Linked DNA regions of Notamacropus eugenii. The protein of the gene in region 1 binds, or shares a complex with, the protein of each later gene. Links are inferred from orthologs where the notes say so. Each region holds a gene or a part of one and is shown in the gene's direction. Other genes may lie near its edges.

Region 1 (10,477 bases):
GGGAACTGCCCAGTAAGGAAATATCTTCTACCAATACAAATGGGCAGCTTCTCTGAAACTTACAGTCTTAGCACTTTACCTTGGATATTCAGAGTTCAAATCACTTGCCTAAGGTCACATATACTGGTATATATATCACAGGCAGAATTTGAACTCAGGTCTTCTTGATTCCCATGTGAGCTCTCTATTCACTGTTAAACAGACTGTCATCATTAATACTATTATTATTTCATTTTTAAAATGCATATAAATCTGGTCTTAATTCCATATAAGAGTAAGAGCCCTATTGGTCAAATATAGTGAAATACCATATTTTGAGGTGGGAGGAATTTTAAAGATGTAGGGTTTTTTTTCTCAGGAAGCAAATAAACATCTTTGACTTGGTTTTCCTGTTTGTTGTCATGACAGAAGCATATCTACCAGTTGAACTCAAAAGTATCTCAAAGTCTCAATGTAGAGTTCAACTTTAATAAAATACAACTGCACTAAGACTTTTGGGACATACTTTACAGTTGTCAGTTTAGCTTTATTAGATTAATGTTAATTTTGAAAAGTCGCCTGGGAATTACACTACTGTAACCAGAAGGGTTCACCTGTTAAGAAACAAAGGAATGGGTTTGCTTTTTTTTTAATGCTAACTAAAAATCGATTAACCTAATATATAAACAGAATGGTAATTAAATGAAAATTGATTAACTTTCAAAGCAAAAATCATATTCTCTTATATGTGTGTTCTCACATCATTTTGAGCACCAAGCCAGTTGTAGGAAAAGTTGTTCAGGTATTTAACACACACAAAAAGTTACTTGATAAGCCTTGGTTTCTTTAAGTAGTCAGGTTCAACACCTGCATCTAATGAATGGCATTTTCAAGGAAAGGTAATAGGATGATCTGTGGACTTAGTTTAAATCAACATAAGGAAAGAAAATCACCCCCTTCATCTTCATCCAGCCTAAGACAGGAAGAACTCACTGTGTCCTGAATCGTAAAAAGGTCATGGATCCTTTGAACTGAAGGAGCCTCTAGGGGTCATTTTGTTTATCACCTGTCCTTCAACAAATTAAAAATGGGATAGAATGCAAACATGTTCAAGAAAGAAATGCCACCTTTTTTACTACCTTCTAGAGGCATCAGGAAATCATTGATCATCTAAGCTAAAATTTGTACGAACAAAAGATTCAGAGACAAGAAAGTTGCCTGTGATTAATATCTGCTCTAATAAAATAAAATTGTTCAATTTGAAAAAAAAGCAAGAGTCCAACAATTCAATTCAATTTAATAAGGCTATATTAAGTAAGTGCCTACTATGTGTCAGGCACTTTGCTTATGCTTAGAGATGCAAAGGCAAGGAGGAAACTATCCCTGCTCTCAAGGACTTTACATTGTTAGTATTTTACTTTTTTGCATATTTATTCCTTAATCTGGGCAACTAGGTGGCACATTGGATAGAACATTGGATCTGGAGTCAGGAAGACCTGAGTTCAAATGTTACCGCTGACACTTACTAGATGTGTTACCCTGGTCAAGTCACTTAACACTATTTACCTCAGTTTCCTCATCTGTAAAATGAACTAGAGAAGAAAATGGCAAACCATTCTAGTACCTTTACCAAGAAAACTCCAAGTAGGTTGAAGAGTGGATCACAACTAAAATAAGTAAACAACAATATTTTAAAATTTATTTTGACCCTTTTAAAAAAGTCTTAACGAGCTCTGGTACTTTTCTTGGGATGGGGGGTAGCAAGTCTTTGCTATATATTAATTCTTCTATATGATAAACATAATCTTCGACTGAAAATTCAAGGAAATTAAATTCAGAAGCACATGACTACTCTTCCTTCCCATTAACTTCTTTCAACTAAAAAATAAAAACAATGAAACCACAAACAGCTTTTCTTCTTACAGTTACTCGAAACAAAGAAGTCTTCCTGTTCTCTGAAAGACATTGAAATTCAGCTTGCTTTGGGAAATCCAGAAACAAGACCTAAGATTGGTTCAACAAATCATTTGTCTCAATGTACAGTACAGGAGATGAAAGCCAGTCCTTGATGAAGGAAAAACTTTCTCTTAGGAAAATGAAAAAAAAAAAAAGTCAGGACTCCCTTTCTATACTGTTAATCTTAGAAGTGGCTTTGAAAAAAATCAAGATGGTAAAAATTAAATGTAGAAAATAGTATTTTTAAAAATCCATTGCATTCTGTTATGCTTTTCTGCCTGGAGCTCAAATAAATAAAGGAAACTCAGTGATATTCCATGGAAGGAGTGGGGAGAGGGAAGGTTATTTACCACAGTGCACCCCACCCTGTGAAAATATCCTTCACAGTTCCCAGGAAGTCAGTTTAAGGGACTATACATGTCAGTTGGGAATGAACAGCAAGCAAACCAAGAATCAATGTAGTTTTTAAGATTTAATTTTCTTTCCAGTTCGAGATAACAGACTAGCTTAGTTACAAGTGATTTTGTAATGAAAGAAAACTGTGGTAACGCTTTTTATCTAAACCAAGGAAATGTCTCAATAACCAATAGTTTTTAAAAGTGAGGGGAGGGGGAATCTTTCAAATAAATAAAAGGAGAAAACTATCTTGACATCCCTATAATGTGCAGTCAAATATCTCTTCCTTTTTACTAATGACATTTTTTTCTCAGTCTTTTGAATCATCCATCTGAATGAAGTTGTAGAAGCTTCTTAGTTTTAGAGTGGGTGGTTTTTTTTTTACGGTCTTGTATGCATATTATTCTAATGCATTTTGGGAAGAGAAAATATTGCAAACTCTAATGCTTTTAGTTCACTAAATATTTCCCTAACCACTGATTACCTTCTCCCAGAATCTATGTATTTTAAGTAAACTTTCTACTGTATGTTTATTGTGCTTATACACTGATTTCCAGGTATCCTTGCTTGGGAATACCTGGCTTCCCAGAAACTTGCTAGAACTTCCACAATGAGTCTTTTTTACCTTTAAAGGAAAAACACTGTTTTGTCAGGTAATGATGAGAACCTAAAAAAAAAAAAACCAAAAAAACCACAAAACTCAGACCAAACAGACCGTGACCAAGTGCTCTGAGTTTGGGAAAATCCACAATGCTCTTCCAACTTAAAATGTCAGTCGCAGTGGTACCACAAGAGATTATTTTGTACTTCTTGTAGGAAACCTATATTCCTTTGGAATATTTCCCTTTGGACTATTCTCCTTTTTGTTGTTTTATCACTGACAAAAAGCTTTTGCTTTGTCATTTTAACAGGCTAAATATTTTCCAAATACTAGCATTAGGATTGCAATATGGAAAAAGCTGAATGTGGGATTTTGGGAGGAAAAATATCTTGCTTACTTGCTACCAGTGAAACTGATTTTTTTCCCGAAGAAAACATAATTAACATACCTTTCTTTTGTAAGTGTGCAGAACTTCCAGGGTTTTGGCCTATCTTGGTTACTGAAGGAGGCTGCAGACTCTTCTCTGAAAGCCTTTAAAGGAAGAATGAGTTTGAGTTGTCAAGAAAGTCGCCTAATGTCCTATTCTCATTTTCCATCAGAGCATTTAGGTGACCCTGGGTTTTCAAAGGCTATCTCCATGAAGTCCAAGCATTGATAGATAGGTCCATACCAGCCTAAGAGGCATTAAATGTAGACCACATGCTTATTGTTTGAGGGCTAGCCTGCCTGAATTTTGAAAGACTGATCACAAAGTTGGCCACGTGCAGTGGTGAGCCAGCTTGTGCAAACTCAGGAAAGCCTGTTAGATTTTCATTGTGAGAGCCTACAAATCAGGATTTGGTTTATTGTTTCATTCTTTACCTAAAATTAAGAAACTGATGATGGAAAAAATCTTAATAATGCAGATTAAGCTTAAAAATGTGCTGTGTGTATAAGTATATTGTGTATGTATGTGTATGTATATGCACACATACATGCATATATATATATGTGTGTGTATGTTTGTGAGTATGTATATTCCCCCAGAGAGCCAGTTGTCAAACATTCCCCAACATGCCATTGGCATGGTAAATAATGTTTAGGTATAGCAACTTTCAAAAATCACCTTGCCAAGTCCTAGATTTTATGATCAATATTTAAGGAAGGAGTATTCACCCTATCCAAATCATGCGTTCTTGAAGTAGAGAATGGGAGACCTGCTCCTATCTGAAGTAAGAGGCTTCTCAACATGACTTTTCAATGTTCCCTTCCTGCCCAGTGAATGATTCTAGAGGGAAAAGGAGGAATCTTTTCAGTGGGAGGGTGTTCTCACAGAAAATGTAATTCAGATGGAAAATGGTTGAATCCCTTTTTATTTTCCTTTGATCAAGTGGATGGCTCCACAAGTCATTCAGAAAAAAGAAAGCAGACTAAGAAATGCATTTTGGCTAACAATCTCCATCTATCCATATTGTATTCATCCAGAGAATCAGAGATTTAGAGTGGGAAAGCACCTTCTCCTCTGATACACAGAGAAAGCTGAAGATTAAAGAAATGAAGTAATTGTCCAAGGACACACAGATAGTAAGTGACAGGATTAGGCTTAGAGATGAAGAAACTGAGGCCCTTAAGAGTTAAATGAGTTTCCCAAGATCACAAAGCTACAAGCACCTAGGGAGATAGCATGGTGGTGTGAATAGGACACTAGACTTGAGTCAGGAAGACTTGGACTCAAATTCCACCTCACTAGCTAGGTGTTGCAGTGGATAGAGCACCAGTGCAGGAGTCAGTAGGACCTGAGTTCAAATCTCACCTCAGACACTTGACACTCACTAGCTGTGTGACCTTGGGCAAGTCACTTAACCCCAATTGCCTCATCCTGGGTCATCTCCAGTCATCCTGATGAATATCTGGTCACTGAATTCAGATGGTTCTGGAGGAGAAGTGAGGCTGGTGACCTGCACAGCCCTCCCTCACTCAAAACAAAGTCAAGGGCAAGTCATGTTGTTATTTCTCTGATGGCATGGTCTTCTTGGGCAATGAAGGATCAACACACACACACACACAGGTGTGTAAGGATGGGCAAGACCCTAACCTATCTGTGCCTCAGTTTCCTTATTTGGGGAAGGATTATACTTAATGGCCTATGAGGTCCTTTCCAGTTCTAATTCTATGACCTAAGATCTAAACAGAAAACAAATCAGTGCAGCACTTAAGACAGTGCCCCACACCTAGGTACTTAATAACAGTGTATTGATTGACTAATCAAAGTCCAGTGCTCTTTCTTCTACAGTCCAGAAGACTGCATGCTTTTTGTATAGTGCACCTTTTGTATAAGCAGAGAATGTCTGTCTTTCTCTTAGAGTCATTCTGCTTTTCTCTGTCTTGAAAATGGAAGGTGTTTATTTGCTTCTGCTTATCCTTCTTCACTCAGGTTGGTTTTTATTTTTATTTTTGTTTTTTGATAGCCCATGAAGATGACACGATATCTTATTTAACAATATATCTTATTTAACAACATATTTAAAAATTAAAAAACAATATGTTTAACAATATATTTAAAAAAGAAATAATTGGCTTTCATTCCCCGACCTCCAATAGATCTCATTTGACCATGCCTTTCAACTGTTCAGAGCTCACCCAGGGCTTGGCAGGTGTGGCATTTGTACGGAGAGAGAGAAAGAGCTGAGCAAGAAGGATACCTAATGAAGACAGAAAGAATCCCCAATCCAGAACCACAGCCCAAAGTGAGGGAAGAGTACGAGGGAAGCCAACATGGGGCAGCCTGGACCTGGGACGGTGGGCAACCTCTGGACTTTGCAGAAGGGAAGTGGTTGGTGACTTTGGTCTGTCTTCCCACAAATACCACTGGAGTGAGTAGACTTTTTCTGCTGAAGTGATGCAATGTTCTTAAACTAGCAAAAAAAAGAAAGAAAGAAAAAAAAGAGGGAGAGAAGGGAGAAAAAAATTGGAATACCCTCACTTCACACAACTCCCACCACTCTTTCCTGCTTCTCTCCTGCCCACTACCACAAAAGGGGGGGGAAGAGAGAGTAAAAAGTTGGGCAACTGTTAAAGGAAACAAAAAAGTTCTCTTTTCCCCACCTCCTGGCCCGCGATCAGCATCTCTTTTGTTAGCGGTCCGGTACAGCCTTCCCTCCGTGACGTCAGGGGGCCCCTGGACCAATGGGCGAGGTGCTGGCCCCGGCTGGGGAATCGGGCGGGTCCCACCTACCCCGGCTCGCCAGTGGCCTGGCGGGGGTCGGGAGCAGAGGGTCCCATATAAACCCCAGCGCGCTCGGGCTCTCCGGCTCCGGCAGGCTGCAGGGTTCGAGGGGTGTGGAGAGAGGCGCACTGCCTTGGAGAGCAGAGGGACCCACGGCAGCCCCATCTTCAGTGCTTCTCCCCAGTCCCTTTTCCCTCCCCTTCCCCACTCTTGGTTCCCTACCTTCCCGCAGAAGTCTAGGGCCGGCCAGCGCTCCATGCAGCTTGCTCTCCCGCGGCTTGCCAAGTAAACCAGAAACTTAGGGTGGGGAGCAGTTGGTCTCTGCAGGAGCCTCTCTCAGTCCCCGCTTTGCAAGATGCCCAGGGACCCCGTCCCGGGAGGGCGGCGGCTGCTGCTGCTGCTGCTCCTTGCGCTATGTCTGGGCACCTCGGTGCAAGCCGCAAAGTCGAAGAAAAACCGGAGGCAAACTCAGCAAATGATTCAGCCTCCGTCCCCGGTGGCTGTCAGCCAAAGCAAAAGTGAGTAGCTTTCTCGGAGGCTTTCTCCCAGGACGGGACAAGTCGCCCAAAGTTGCTGGAGGAAACTTTTCTGGGTCCGTTAATGAATGCCTTAAAGAATCCAGTTGTAGGAACAAAGCCATTTCAGGGACCTGAGTGCCTGCTGCTGTTGGAATTCTGGGTTCCTTCTCTAAAGGATCTAAGAATTCACTGGGGATGCTTGTTGGGGGGTGGGGTGGGAGCGGTGTATTTCGTTGGAAAGCCCATCAGTCCTATAGATCGGATGCCTTTTTATCCAGTTAGGACTTTATGGAAGAATCAGATCAATGGGCGTTTTCTCAAAATGTCCATTCAAAATTTGGTTGACTTTTATGGACACTGCATTTTCGTCCTTTCCGTAAGTTTAACTGGTGTAACGTTTTCAAGATGAAAGGAAGATAGGTAGGGGAGTTAGGGAGGGAGTGCCTGCAAAATCTGCTACTGTTCTTTAGCCAGCTCTGAAACTTGGGCATTTGGTTCAAATTGCCTTCAGCCCCTGGAGATACTTCACCGTGTAAGGAAGAGGGAATTTCTTTTCCAGCTTTGAAAGGGAACCGTTTTTTCAATGGTCTAATGGAAACCACTAAAACTTGCTGAGTGGGACATGTTTCTGTCATTAATCACTGCTCCATTTACCTCCACAATGGCAATGTGGTTTGTGGGAACTTTCTTTTCTTTTTTCTTTTTAGTCAAGTCTCCAACTTCTGGTTTTTTAAGAAACTTTTTCACTTCTGGTCAATTGGAAATAGTTTCACTAAGTAACGTTTAGTTCTGTAACAATACCCAAAACTCACCCCTACTTGATTTCTGTTGGCCCCAAAGATTGCTAGACAACTTTTTAAACTCATTGCTTTTGGATGATCTGCGCCCTCTCTCTCTCTCTCTCTCTGTCTCTCTCTGTCTCTGTCTCTCTCTCTGTCTCTGTCTGTCTCTGTCTGTCTGTCTGTCTCGCTCTCTCAGCTTTTATGATGCTTTGAAGGCTAGAGCTCACTTCTCCAATTCACTTCCTATCATTGTTAGTTTCTTATTAACCCTATTTAGTTTCTTTATTTCGTTATTGTCAATTTAGTTAAGTAGAAAAGTTTCCAGGCATGAAATGGAAAGTCAATAATAGATGATACGTTTTTTTCCCTGTGAATTCATTGCAGCTGGCTGTTATGACAATGGAAAACACTACCAGATCAACCAACAATGGGAGCGCATTTACTTGGGAAACGCACTGGTTTGTACCTGCTATGGAGGCAGCCGAGGTTTTAACTGTGAGAGCAAGCCTGAACGTAAGTGAGAGAGAGTTAGATGGAGAAGTGCTGATCATTAATTAACTAGACAAAGAAATTACAAATTAAAATTCTAGGGCATTTTCCTCAGTTCAGAGCTACATAATGTACAATTTTAAGTTCTAAAAATATTTAGTAAGTTCTTTGTACACTCATCTCTGTCTTAGAGGTGATAGCTAATGTCAAAGTAATTTTACTTTTAAAAAAGAATAAAACAAATTGCTTCCTAAGTCTCTTCTATTCCCTAATTTAATGAAAAATATACGTGTTATTTGCCCACAAGATAAAATGCATAGTTATCCCTGGAAAGTGGTAGGAGATTTTAAATATGTAAAGAAAAGGGACTGGATCTGTGAATTCATTGGGACCTCCCAGTTGAGGAAACTCCCTCAATCACATAGGTTTACACCTTTTCTCTACAACTTAGATTCTTAACGTCGTAAGTGTTTAAACTGCAGAGAAGCAGTTTTTGTGGACTAGAAACCATATTAGGAGGATCAAATCCCCTTACATGTGAAAAGTGATGTCAATTGTATCTTTAAATCTGACCTCTTAAAATAGACTTTCCCCCTTTGTAATCATTGATATTTTTCTCCTTAAGTCTGTCAAAACTCATCCAAAAGAAGCATTAGTATGACTATTGTGGGAACAGTATTAAATAATAAATTTAGTTGCCCAATGGGGGAAGGGGTGGGGCAGGAATTAATAAACTGTAGACTTATGTATAGCACTCCAGTTTGACTTCCTGAGGCAAGCATCTATATCTCAAATTTCTTCCCTAATAGCATGGAGTGTGTCAAAAGCACAGCAGCTTTTATGACACCTGTTCTTTACAATGGAAATCACGTTGTAAAACAACTTGAGGACCCAAGGCCATAGAGGCACTATCTGAACCAAGAGGAAAATGTGAATCTCCTCAATCCATGTCCTTTGCTTTTCTTCATCCACTCTGCTCTGTCTCCTCTAGAATGGGAAATGGGTCTTTGTACAGATGGGATTCTAGGAATGTAAAAGTTGTTCCTCTAATCTTCCCTCTCAGCTGAAGAAACATGCTTTGACAAATATACTGGAAACACCTACCGAGTCGGGGACACTTATGAGCGCCCAAAAGATTCCATGATTTGGGATTGTACCTGCATTGGGGCTGGTCGAGGGAGAATCAGCTGTACCATTGCAAGTAAGGAACACTTCAGTATGACTTCTTTTCATTGTACTAGCCAGTACCTTCTGGAAAAGTTCACTTAGTAAAGACAAAGTGTGTCCTTCTCTATAAGTATGAACTCAATTCCGATCACAGACAACTTTCTACTATTGGTAAAAAGCATTTGTGGTTACCCGTGAGCATCCTGGGCTACTTTTACACAGCTGTCCAGTCAGGATATGAGCTTCTGAACACAAAGTGGAATGTATGTTGGAGTATGTGTGTGTGTGTGTGTGTGTGTGTGCGCGTGCATATGTACCTGTGTCTGTGTCTTCAGCTCCACTTCAGAATATAAATTAATTGAGAAATTATCTGGTGCCCATTCTCTACTTAGAACAGATAAGCCAGCTGTTTGATGTGACATAGATTTAAGAGAAAAAGTATATATTTTTGGTATCTTCATATGTGACATGTTAACCTGATCATAAGTATGACTGATCCATTCATTTTGTTCTTTTTCACAATCCAAATTGATTATGATCCTCAGAAGCTGTTAAATTTGGGGGGCAACTAATTTCATTCATATGTCATTTATGTTTTCATTACTATAGCTCATGGATACACTCCAATTTCTTACTGTTTAATACATTACTCTGAAAATAGACCTTAACTGTATTTCTGAAGGGAAAATACAATCAAATGTCCCAAAGTATCTAACAGTAAGGGTAGTTCTAATAGGGTCAAGGAATTCATTTAAATTTGATCTGCTACATCTTATTAGCTGATTAAACTAGAAGGTTGTGTGTGTGTGTGTGTCTATTTACGTCTTTATCAATTTAAAAGTCAGAGACACAATACTCAGGCATTCATTTATGATTAGTCCAAACCAGTTCTCTTAATACTTTAGTTTGGAAATATCCAAATTTAAGGGCTTAGGGTTTTCTCTAAAATTTCTCCTCCACCTTCCTCTCTCTGTCTCTCTCTATTTCTCTCTCTCTCAAGGATATTTCATGCTTACCTTTCTTGATTTAGGATCATCAGTTTAGGCACAGAAGATTCCATCAATCTAATCCTCTCTAATTTGACAGTTGAGGTACCTGAGTCTCTGATAAATTAACTTGCCCAAGGTAGCATAAGCCATAAGCTCAAGAGTCAGGAATTGGACACAGGTCACCGGTTTCCAAATATGGTGCTCTTTCCATGCATCAATGAGTTTAATGTTTCTGGGAAAATAAAAATACAGTACACACTTAGGTTTACCTTTATGATGCTTTCCCCAAAATTGTAATCTACTCCCAAGTTTACTAGACTGGATAAGCATGAAAGTAACTCTCTAGTGTTGTTTCTGCCCACTGTAGAAAGGAGAGGTGATATGAAATGTTGTCT
Region 2 (10,849 bases), on another chromosome or scaffold:
TTCATCTCACTTAAGTTACCCAGCATGAAGAAGTCGGAGCCACTCCAGGCAGACAGAGTTCAGCTTCTCCATCTCAAGCAATTTTCTCTTTTGAGGGAGACAGTGTGGTTCAGTGGAAAGACTGTTTGCTAGATTCTGAATCAAGGGACTTGGGTTCAAATTCTGCTTCAGTCACTTATTAGCTGTGTGACCTTAAGCAAATAACTCAGTTTCCCTGAGCCTCAGCAGTCGAAGGAAGGGGTTGGACTAGAAGGAGTATTAGATCTGTTTTAGATTCAGATGCTGTTGCTTAGTCATTTCAGTCATGTCTGACTCTCCATGACCCCATTTGAGGTTTTCTTGACAAAAATATTGGAGTAGTTTGCCATTTCCTTCTCCAGTTCATTTATAGATGAGGAAACTGAGGTAAACAAGGTTAAATGACTTGCCCAGAGTCACACAGCTAGTAAGTGTCTGAAGTCAGATTTGAACTCGGGTCTTTCTGACTCTGGTCTATCCACTGCACCACCTAACTGCCTGTTTGTTCCAAATCTTATGATCCTATTCCCTGTCTACACCTTCTTTCCTGCTTCTGGACACTTCCATGAGAAGGAAATATCCCCTCCAATCCCTAGCCTCAAGTTTCTTCTCCATCACAGTCTTGTTGCCTACTTATGGTCTTCAAGAAGCTTGCCTTGCTCTCCCCCATGGTCTGTTTTGTTATCTCCTACTGGCTCCATGGGGACAATCACCACCCTCTGGTCCCTTTCATTGGAAGTTGGAGCCATGAACTCCAAACCACCCATTTAAGGAGGGAGCTCAGCTCAGAACTTCTTTCTCACCTGGCTGGGCTACTTCAGAACCTTTCTGATTCTTCTACTATGTCAGAAACCTTCCCTGGCACCACAGCTTTCTTCATTACATTATAAACTCTGTGAGGAGAGGGGGTGTCTTTTTTCATATCTGTATTCTCAGAGCTTAGTACAGTGCTTAGCACAAAGGAGGAGCTTAATAAATGTTTGTGGACTAAGGGCTGATTAATAATAAGCACATTTATAAAATACCTACTATGTGTCAGGCACTGTGCTAAGCTCCGAGGATGCAAAGACAAAACTGAAACTGCCCCTGACCTCAAGGGCCTTACCTTCTGTCTGAGGTGGTAGCCAGTGCTGAAGAACCTATGAAATGTACACACCATAAATACAAAACCATTTCACTTGGAAGGCACTAACAGTTGGGAGAATGAGGGAAAGCTTCATGTAAGGGGGGGGTTCGAGCTCAGTTCTGAAGGAAACCAGGAATTTTAAGAGGCAGAGGTGAGGAGGGAATGCATTTCAGGCATGAGGCACAGCCTTTACAGCTGCATTGAAGCAGGAAATGGAATGGCATATATAAGGTAGAGCAGGAAGGCCAACCTGACTGGAATAAAGACTAGACCAGTGAATTGCTGTTAGAAACTCCCAGGAGGTAAAATACTCTCTACCAAAGATAGTTGCATGGAGTGTCACCCAGAACAGCAGTCAAATTGGAATAGAAACCTGGGCCACTAAACCTTACACAAGGACTCCAGAGAACTGCATACTGACTTAGAAAACCACATATTAATATTAATGGGATTGGGCTTGTGAGTGGCTGCTCTACTTCCAGCTTGTATGACTTTCTAACTGAAAGAAAGAAAAGAAGGAAGAAAGAAAGAAAGAAAAATGAAGGAAAGAAAGAGAGGGAGGAAGGAGAGGAGGAAAGAAAGGCAAGAAGAAAGAAAGTTAGAGAGAAAGGAAGAAAAAAGGAAAAAAGAAAAAAGAGAGGAATGAAGAAAAGAAGAAAGAGAAAGAAAGAAAGAAATGGAGAAAAGAGAGGAAGAAAAGAAGAAAGAAAGCAAGAAAGAGAGAAAGGAAGGGTAGTAAAGAAAGAGGGAAGAGAGAAAGAATGGAAGAAAGAAAAATAAAGGAAGAAAGAAGTGGAAGAAAAAGAGGAAGGAATGAAGAAAGAGAAAAAAAGAAGGAAATGATGAAAGGAAGGAAAGAAGGAAGAGAAATAAAGGTGGGAAGAGAAAAAGGGAGCAAGGGAGAAAAGAGAGAAGAAATGGAGGAAAGAAATGAAAAAAGGAAAGAAGTAAGAAAGAGCAAAGAGAGGAAGGAAGGAAAGGAAGGGAGGGAGGGAAAGAAGGAAAGAAAGAAAGAAAAAAGGAAAGAAAGAGAAAAAAGAAAGGAAAAGAAAAGGGAAGGGGAGAGGAAAGAAGGAAGGAAGAAAGTAATAGAAAGAAAAAGAAAGAAATAGAAGGAGGTAGGGAGGAAGGAAAGATGGAAGGGAGGGAGGAAGGAAAGGAAGAAAGAAAAAAGAAAGGAAAGGAAAATGGAAGGGGAGGGGAGAAAAGGAAGGAAGAAAAAAGAAAAAGAAAAAGAGAAGGAAATAGAGGGAGGAAGGAAAGGAAGGGAGGAATCTAGAACCAAAAGATCTGTTCCAATGCTAATTTTACCATTTATCACCTTGGATCCTAAACAAGTCACTCGATGTCTCTGATCCTGTCATGTCTGCTGTAAAATGAGGTGCCAACATCAGTTGGGACTAGCTGAACAAGTTAGAGCATATTAATATAAGGGAATGTTATTGTGTTGTGAAGAATGATCAAAGAGAAAAGTTCGGAGAAGGAAAGATTTGTATGAACTGACGCGGAGTGAAGTGAGCAGAACCAGAAAACTTTATGCCATAATAACATTATAAAGATAAACAATGCCGAGAGACTTAAGAATGATGATCAGCACAATGACCATTCATGATTCCAGAAGACTCGGGATGATGCAAGAACCTCGCCTTCTAGAGAGGAGAAGGACTCAGGGTGCAGAATGGGACCTAGATTTTGATTATGGACAGTGTGGGAATTTGCTTGGTTTGACCAGGCATGTTTGTTAGAACGTTTTGGCTGTGCTTTTTTTCCTTTTTTAAAACTGGAGTGAGGAGAGAGGGAAAGAAAATAAATGTTTGCTAATTGAACAATAAAATAAAATGGAAAAATTAACACGGCTGAGCTAGAAAGGGGGCTAAGATTTAAAGTCAGAAGACCTTAGTTTTGATTTCAACTTTATTATTTTCTGCTACCTTTGTGGCTGTGAACACAGCACTGCTCTGGCCACCTCAGTTTTCTCATCTGTAAAATGAGAGGATTCAATTTGATGACCTTCAAGATTTTATCTTTCATCTTTAAATCAGTGCTTCCAAGTGGTCCTTCTCATTCTAAAACCTATGAACAATAAGATTGATGGTGGGGGGAGAGGCACAGCTGGAAGGAAAGAGGAGCTCCAGATGCGAGGGGGAAGGGGCGTCACCTACCTCATCACACCAGCTGTGCCAGTGCCTCAGGTAGCTCTGTCCAGATGTGCTTGACGTTTTCACATTATAAGGGAGCCCAAAGGAGGAGAGCAGAGAGAGCAAATCTGGGGAGGGGGAGATGTGGAAAAGGCTAAAGTGAGATCACTATCTCTTTAGGTCTTTTTCTTCTGGGGTGTGTTGAGGGGAGCCGGGCAGGAGGGAGCTTTGGGGAAACTTGGAAAGTGAGAGAATTCAGAGCTCAGCACTTTTCAACCCTTTTGTTTTTCTTGCTTCTTGAGGTGATTTTTTTCCCTCCTCTAAAACGTTGATGATTTTACCATTTCTTGGGGGGAGGGGGGGAATGGGTGGAGATTTCAGTCTGTTCTCCACCCCTACCCCCCAGCACACACATGCCAATCATGGAGAATGCATTCCATTCCCGAAGAAGCCTGAACTTCAGAGTTTCCTAAAGATGAGGTGGCGTCTCCCCCCAAAGATCCCCCTCCTTCCAGGCCAGCAGGGCTGGTCTATGAGGAGGAGGGGAGTGAGGGGGAAAGGAGGCAGCTCTGCCGGCGTCGGCACGGCATTCTTCCCTTTGCCGTCATCCTGTAGAAATTAAAGACACATCTTCAGGTTGGCTGCTGGCCAAGTGTTTCAAGTCAAAAAGGAGGAGAAAGAAAAAGAGGAGGAAGAGAAGGAGGCCCCAAGCCAGGACCCTCGCCTTCTTCCATGCCACGTGTGTATGGAGCTCTGAGACGCATGGATGATGGATAAAAGAATCTTGGACCAATATGAGAATGGTTGTCACAACACATACACACACACACACACACACACACACATACACACACACTCCACCCTTCCTTCTCTGGGAGGACTTTGACACATTCCTCACGACTCTAGCCCCATGGTATGACAAACAGCCAGTCTACATGTGTGATGAGTTGGTGTTCTCTTCAGGAGTGGTGGGGAAAGGAACAGTTAGGGGCAAATATAGCTAAGAGGTGGAGTCAAGGGGATGATTTCAGTCTGCCTACCCTAAGGACCTACAGGGGTCATAGTCCCCCCATAGGCTATGGCAGAAAAGGGGATAAGGAAGGGTACCGTCTTTCAATTCCATGTGCAAGCTTGCACACACACACGCACCACATACACATGCACCACACACTACTGGGTCAAACAACCATCAAGACCCCTAACCCCTTAACTATTTCAAGCATCCAATTTAAATGAGGGTAATGAGTTCATGAGTGTTTTGGTGGAAGGGATAGCATGCTTTGCAGTGAAGAAAATGTGTTGGAGTGGAATACAGTGGGAGCACAGAAAAATCTCCTTGGGAGAAGGAGCAGGAGACTCTCAGCCTGAGTCACCCTTCCTGGACCAAAGGGCTCTGCAGATGCTCTAGGGCCAACTCCAAGCATCTGGGAGGTGGGGTGGGGCGCAGGGCCACAATGACTCCAAGAGGATGCCACATCGGAGCAGTAATTGGAGCAGACTCCCCCCCCATCTGTCTCCAAGCCTGCCTCGCTGGAAACTCTATATTTTCCCCTTTAATTATAGCCCCTAAAGCCTCCCCCCCCCTCCACTTATGGTCCCGTTGCCCATATCCTACGTGGCTTCACTTGCCTTGTTCTGGCCCATGTATTTTTTTTTTCCCTCTCTGGTTTCTTGCACTGCACAAAACCAGCTGGGACTGGGGGGAGAGGGGGGCGGGGGCGGGAGAACTCTGGAATCTTGGAAGGGTTTGGGGGCGGGGCTCCCCCTTCCACGTTAGCAGCCTGGGAGTGACTTTGAATGGGGGATATGGCGAGGGCTGCTATTGGGGTCGAGGGAAACAGGTGTGCGGGGTCCACTCTGGTCCCTACCAGAAGGAGTTAGAAGGAGGGGACCTGGAGTACTGTGGAATAAGTTATACTGGGGTACTGTGGGGGCAGGTCTTGGGGATTTGAAAGAACTGGGTAATAAGGTCTGGGGACATAAAGGCACTGCAGATTCTAAGGAGTCTAGGATTGAGGAAACTCTAGAGGTCAAAGCATCATGATGGTCCCTCAAGGAATGTCCCCCAAATGTACACCAAAGCAACCACCTCCCCACTTTCGAGAACTTATGACTCACTCTGAGGATCTCTGCACAGCTCTGAAGGAGCAAAGAACTTCCTCCTAGCTCCTAAGAGAGGAGAGAGATGGTTTCCTTCTGAAAACAAGAATCATTCAACCACCCCCCACGCACAATTCTGCCCCAAATCCCGCATATAATACAAGACATTGTTTAAAAAATAATTTTCATGTGTGTGTTTTAGCCAAAGCTTTTCCTTAGACACCCAGGTCCATCCCCACAAACCCACACCTCACATACACATTCTACAATCCCTGGAAGGAATACATACCTAGGATGAGGACAGGAAACACATCCAAAGGGAGACCCTTCTTGCTAAATGTGCAGCCCTCCGTTCCCTTCTTGATCTGGGGTAGTTCCCATCTGCCACCCTGAAATCATCTTTTGAGCAGTTAAAGCTTTCTCTAGAAGAAAGCAATACCCTTTCTGACAAGTAGTCAGTTACCCAACAATTCCCAGGGATCTTCTCCACCAAGTCACAGACACTCTCACCTTGGTACTCAGAGTAGAGTACGATACCTCTCCGTCCCTCCTCCTCACCTCCTTGTAGTCCCAGATGTAGGAGGCAATTGAGATGGGGAGATTATGTTCTCAAGTAATCCTTCCCCTAACCATTCAGCAACCCCCAATCCTTTCTCTTGCCTTGAGATGATAGAGACCCCAAACTACCACCCAAACTCCCTGCCCAAGCCCCAGACATGGTAGCCGGAGGATCCCCCTCTCCAAAGGGGGACCCCCTTGTCAAATTTCTCACAGACATTTACTTCTTACCATCTAGGACCAATGACCCTTCCCTGTTCTCCCAAATGTCACCAAACCCCCAACAGACGACACTCCCTAAAGAGGGGCTCTCCCTTTTATTAAGCATTCCACCTGCTTTGATGGAGGGGGCTTTCCTCATCCAAGTCTCCTCATTTCCCTCTTTAGTTCTTCCTCACGATTTCCCTTTTCCCCAGTCCCCCCCAATCCATTCCGCTTTTGTCAGTGGTTGCTCCCCATTCAGAGGTCTCTGATCTCTTTTTTCCCCCTATAATAACCCCCCAAGTCTACACGGAGAACCCAGCTCATATTCTAGCAAGCCGTATCTCTAGGCTGGGCACATCGGGGGGAGGGGGGAACCGAGAAGACAGAAAGATTGGGGGGGCAGGGAAAGGAAAGGGCAGATTCTCTTCTCTTCCCTCCTCCCACTTCTCCCCCCTCTCCCTCCCCTCCCTTCCAACTCCCAAATTGGGGGCCGGACTGTGAGGCCCTGATTGGTTGGGCAGCGGGTGGCCCGTTCCCCCTCTCAGTGGGGGCTGGATCCCTCCTTCCCTGGGATCCCAGGACAATATAAAAAGGGGCCCAGAGCAGGCATTGTAGCAGACGGGAGTTTCTCCTTGGGGTCTGAGCAGGAGGTACCCAAGAATCTCAGGCCGCGCATGAGTGGACGGTAACCCCCCAACCCCAAGCCCCAAAGAGTCTACATGTCTAGGACCTAGACATGTTCAGCTTTGTGGATCCCCGGCTCCTGCTGCTCTTAGCAGTCACTGCCGTCCTCACCCATGGCCAAGACGAAGAAGACAGTAAGTTGGAAACTTTTTTTGGGGGGGGGAGGGAGAGGAAATGCATGTAACTGGAGTTCATTTATCAGCTCCCCGTTAACACACCTCCTGAGGACCCCCTACTTGAGCTGGATTGCTCAGGGTCTGGAAGGCTAGCAGGAGATGAGATTTCTAAGGGAGTCCTCATAGACGAACGAGTTTGAGGCAGTAGGGGATATAGATTTTTGAGGGAAGGGTGATATCCCATCAGAGAGGAACAGGTTGAAAAGAAAGCTCACAGCGAGTTAGGTGGGTGAGAGGGCTCAAAGAAGATCCCGTGGACAATAGGACAAGTATCGTTGGGGCTTTTAGAAGGAGAGGAACTTGGGGACAAATGGGGTCTGGGTGGTAGACTAGGATTACTGAACCCAAAATGCAAAAGCCATCAGGAAGGAATTAAGGATGATTCATAAGAAAAACGTTTTTGCAGACTCTGCAGTCTAGACGCAGTTCCAAGCTCTTGGGATGCTTGGGGTCCACTGCAAGAGGAGGGGTGGAGTGTGAGAGGGGTGGGGGGCTGCGGGGGTAGGAGGAGGAGAAACTTGAGTGGGGCGGGGGCAGGGTGGAATTCCAGCGCCCTCTGCCGGCCCCGTGGGGGGAGGGGAGAGAGGTTACCACGCCTCCCCTTGCGTCCAGGGTAGCGGGACATCCCAGTGCCTCGCCCGCTTCCTGGGAGGTGGGCGGGGGTGGTGTGGGAAAGGGGGAGCTTGGGCAGGCTATCTGGGCAATTGACCTCCCCTTTTCTCCGACTCGTGTCCATTTGCTAGCGCTGCGTGCCACCTCGTGGTGAACCACTCTGTTGCACGCGCGGGGGATGAGGAGAGGGACTAGAATCGACTTTTTGCGGAGTTTTTGATTTTTCTTATTGTTTGGTTCAGTCACTTAAAGACCCAGAAAGGGCTTATTCAGGGAAGAGAGGGCAGGGCGCGGCCATTGGATCTTGCTTTGTGGGTGTCTGTTTATGATGAGAGAAAAGGACCAAGGGGGTCAGGAGTAACAGGATAGACGTTAGGGCGTGTCTGTTGGTTTGGAGGAGCGCAATAGTTTTTTGAGGAGACTCCCCTCCCTTGCTCCTCACTTTAATTCGCCCTCCCCCAGAGCACTCCTCTTTCTCTCCTCCCACTCTTTTCTCCATTTGTCTCCACCTGCCTCCTCATGATCCTCTTCCTTCTCCTTGCCATCCCTACCCAAATCTCCCCTCTTCCACACTTGGGGCCTTTTCTGTTCCATTCTCTCCCCACTCTCCCCTCACCCTAACTTTTATTTGACTTGGCCTCGCCCCAATGAACTAAGGTCGGAACTTGATGGAACAACTGGCCTAAAGTTTTGTTTAAATTCCTAAACTGGAAAGAGTTAGAATGTCTCTGGCCCTGAGCCTTTGCTGTCACTGAGCCCCTGATGAGAAGCAGATGAATCTTAAGAGTTGATGGGGGGCGGAGCGAGGGAGATGAACAGATGCTGAGGATATAGGAAGTGAGAAATCCAATGCTTCCCTGACTCCATGGAAGAGGGAGGAAAAGTAGAGGAAAAGTAGGACCCCTCTGGAGTACTGGGTAGAAAGGTACTTGGGTTTCCCTTTTCTCCCCCTACTCCCATCCGCTACTGATCCACCACTTCCAACTTTGTCCCCCAGTTCCAGAAGGCACCTGTGTACAGAATGGTATAAAGTACAACAACGGGGAAGTATGGAAACCTGAGACCTGCCAAATCTGTGTCTGTGACAATGGAAACATCCTGTGCGACGAAATAATCTGTGAAGACGTTTCCAACTGTCCCAATGTAGAGTACAAGGACGATGAATGCTGTCCCTCCTGCCTTGGTGCCGATGCCGGTATGCCCCCCTCCTCCTACCTACCCAATCCCCCCCCCCCCTTCCCCACACTCCATCCCACCAATCAGAGTCCCTCTTCCTTTCTGTTCACTATCTTTCCTGATTCCACAAGTCCATAGAATGGACCTGCCTCTCTTCTCTCTCTCTCTTCCTCCCCACTCCTTCCCCCATCCCACCCCACTCTCATTCAGTCTTCTCTGACCACTAGAGGTCTTGGTTTTTAATAGGGGCCTGAGGTAGGGTTCTAGTCTTCCCCTACCCCTCTGCTGCCAGAGTCATTCTCTGATTCCTTCTCTTGTCCTCTCTATAGCTTCACCATCCTCTCCCGGAGAAACAGGAGCCGAGGTAAAGAATAGTCCTTAGTTTTTTGCCTCACTCATGAATATCCCCTCCGTTGCCCACCCACTTGTCTAAACCTTGTTCCTTTCTTTTTCATCCAATCTCACAGGGTCCCAAAGGAGACACTGGACCCCGAGGTGAAAGGGTAAGCTTTTAAACCTTCTTTGGAAGTTTGGTGGTGGGCAGTGAGTGTGGGGCCTGCTTTGTGGCTGACATTGGCATTTGCTTTCTTTCCCTGGCAGGGACTTCCAGGCCCACCTGGAAGAGATGGCATCCCAGGACAGCCTGGTCTCCCCGGTCCCCCTGGTCCCCCTGGTCCCCCTGGCCTTGGAGGAGTAAGTATACAATCAAGTCACTCTTGAAAGGATTTTTCCTCCCTTCCATCAACTGACCTGACCCTTTCCCTCTCTCTCTCTCTCTCTGTTTTTTCCTCTAGAACTTTGCTCCTCAAATGTCTTATGGCTATGATGAGAAATCAGGCGGCATATCTGTGCCTGGACCTATGGTAAGCTCACTAGGGCAAAGGGAGGATAGAAAAATAATCAATCAATAAACATTTATTAAGCACCCTACTATGCGCCAGGCTCTGCACTGAGTACTGGGGATACAAAAAGACGCAAATAAGTTTGGAGACATTGGGAAGGGGTAGGGGCCAGAAGGGCAGTCATCTCCAGATTTGTTTGGTCTTGTTAGGAGACAAAGATCCTTTCTGGGATTTCAAGGATAGGTAAAGGCAACAGAGAACCCATGAGAAATGAAAGATAAAGGTATTCTGTGCCTTGCATTTTCCTTTTGAATTCATCATTTTTCTCTTTTCTCCTTAGGGTCCCTCTGGTCCTCGTGGTCTCCCTGGTCCCCCTGGTTCACCAGTAAGTATCTGTGGTCTTGCAGTCACTTGAGGATCTTCAGTCTGAGTCTCTTTTAGGATTCTACAGGGAAAGGGTAGGGGAGAGGTGTTCAGGATTCTCTTTCTGGGACATTCAGATGTTGTCAGGGGCCCTATAGTGCCTGCCTCTAGCAGGTGAGAAGCTGGAGGTAGGAGGATCGTGATGGCCGTGGGGATGCTAATTAGCTTGATGGAGATTGTGTGAATTAGCACAAAATAGGCAATTAACACATAGGTGCTAAGTTTAAATGAAGGTGGCGAATGAAGAGGCTAGTGGACAGTGCTGACACTAGCAGGGATGAGAGTCATGTGGTGATGACATGTCTTTCTCATGCTTCCCTAATTTCTTTCCCCTCCAGGGTCCCCAAGGTTTCCAAGGCCCCCCTGGTGAACCCGGTGAGCCTGGAGCTTCTGTAAGTGGTCCTACCAACTCCCTCTTCCTGCCCCTCTCCTTCCCCCATTCATCCAGCATGTAACAAGAGTTTCATTCATATACACGTCTCCCTCCTCCCACCCCAACCCCCCCCCATATATATCTTTCTTAAGTGAAGGGTGTCTTCATCTTAATAATTAATATTTGTATGGTGCTTTATACTTGGCAGAGCACTTTACCTATTTGATCTCAGTTGATCCTAACAACAGTCCTGCGAGGTAGACTCTAGAATGACCCCCTTGTATAGATGAAGATACTGAGAATGAGAGAGGTTAAGTGACTTGTCCAGGACCACACAGCTGGGAAGTGTCTGAGGCAGATTTTGAACTCAGTCCTTCCACATCCAGGGGTGTCTCTACTGTGCCACCTACTGTCTCTTC

The links.
Region 2: the proteins of FN1 (region 1) and COL1A1 are in contact, whole or in part, in a crystal structure (PDB 3GXE), measured with the Homo sapiens proteins. The link is inferred for Notamacropus eugenii from reciprocal best matches to the Homo sapiens genes FN1 and COL1A1. Residues at the interface, in NP_997647.2 of Homo sapiens: Asp516, Gln517, Lys533, His535, Glu537, His539, Leu541, Gly549, Arg550, Gly551, Arg552, Trp553, Lys554, Cys555, Pro557, Gln560, Phe569; in NP_000079.2 of Homo sapiens: Leu261, Pro262, Gly263, Met264, Lys265, Gly266, His267, Arg268.

The regions. Positions count from the first base shown.
Region 1 is NC_092877.1:313,455,808-313,466,284, reverse strand, and holds the start of FN1 (fibronectin), read left to right. Parts: upstream 1-6,160; 5' UTR 6,161-6,492; coding exon 6,493-6,655; intron 6,656-7,821; coding exon 7,822-7,950; intron 7,951-8,989; coding exon 8,990-9,127; intron 9,128-10,477. UniProt on the Homo sapiens protein: Fibronectins bind cell surfaces and various compounds including collagen, fibrin, heparin, DNA, and actin. Fibronectins are involved in cell adhesion, cell motility, opsonization, wound healing, and maintenance of cell shape.
Region 2 is NC_092873.1:350,354,340-350,365,188, forward strand, and holds the start of COL1A1 (collagen alpha-1(I) chain), read left to right. Parts: upstream 1-6,740; 5' UTR 6,741-6,880; coding exon 6,881-6,962; intron 6,963-8,613; coding exon 8,614-8,811; intron 8,812-9,121; coding exon 9,122-9,156; intron 9,157-9,259; coding exon 9,260-9,295; intron 9,296-9,392; coding exon 9,393-9,485; intron 9,486-9,586; coding exon 9,587-9,655; intron 9,656-9,974; coding exon 9,975-10,019; intron 10,020-10,395; coding exon 10,396-10,449; intron 10,450-10,849. UniProt on the Homo sapiens protein: Type I collagen is a member of group I collagen (fibrillar forming collagen).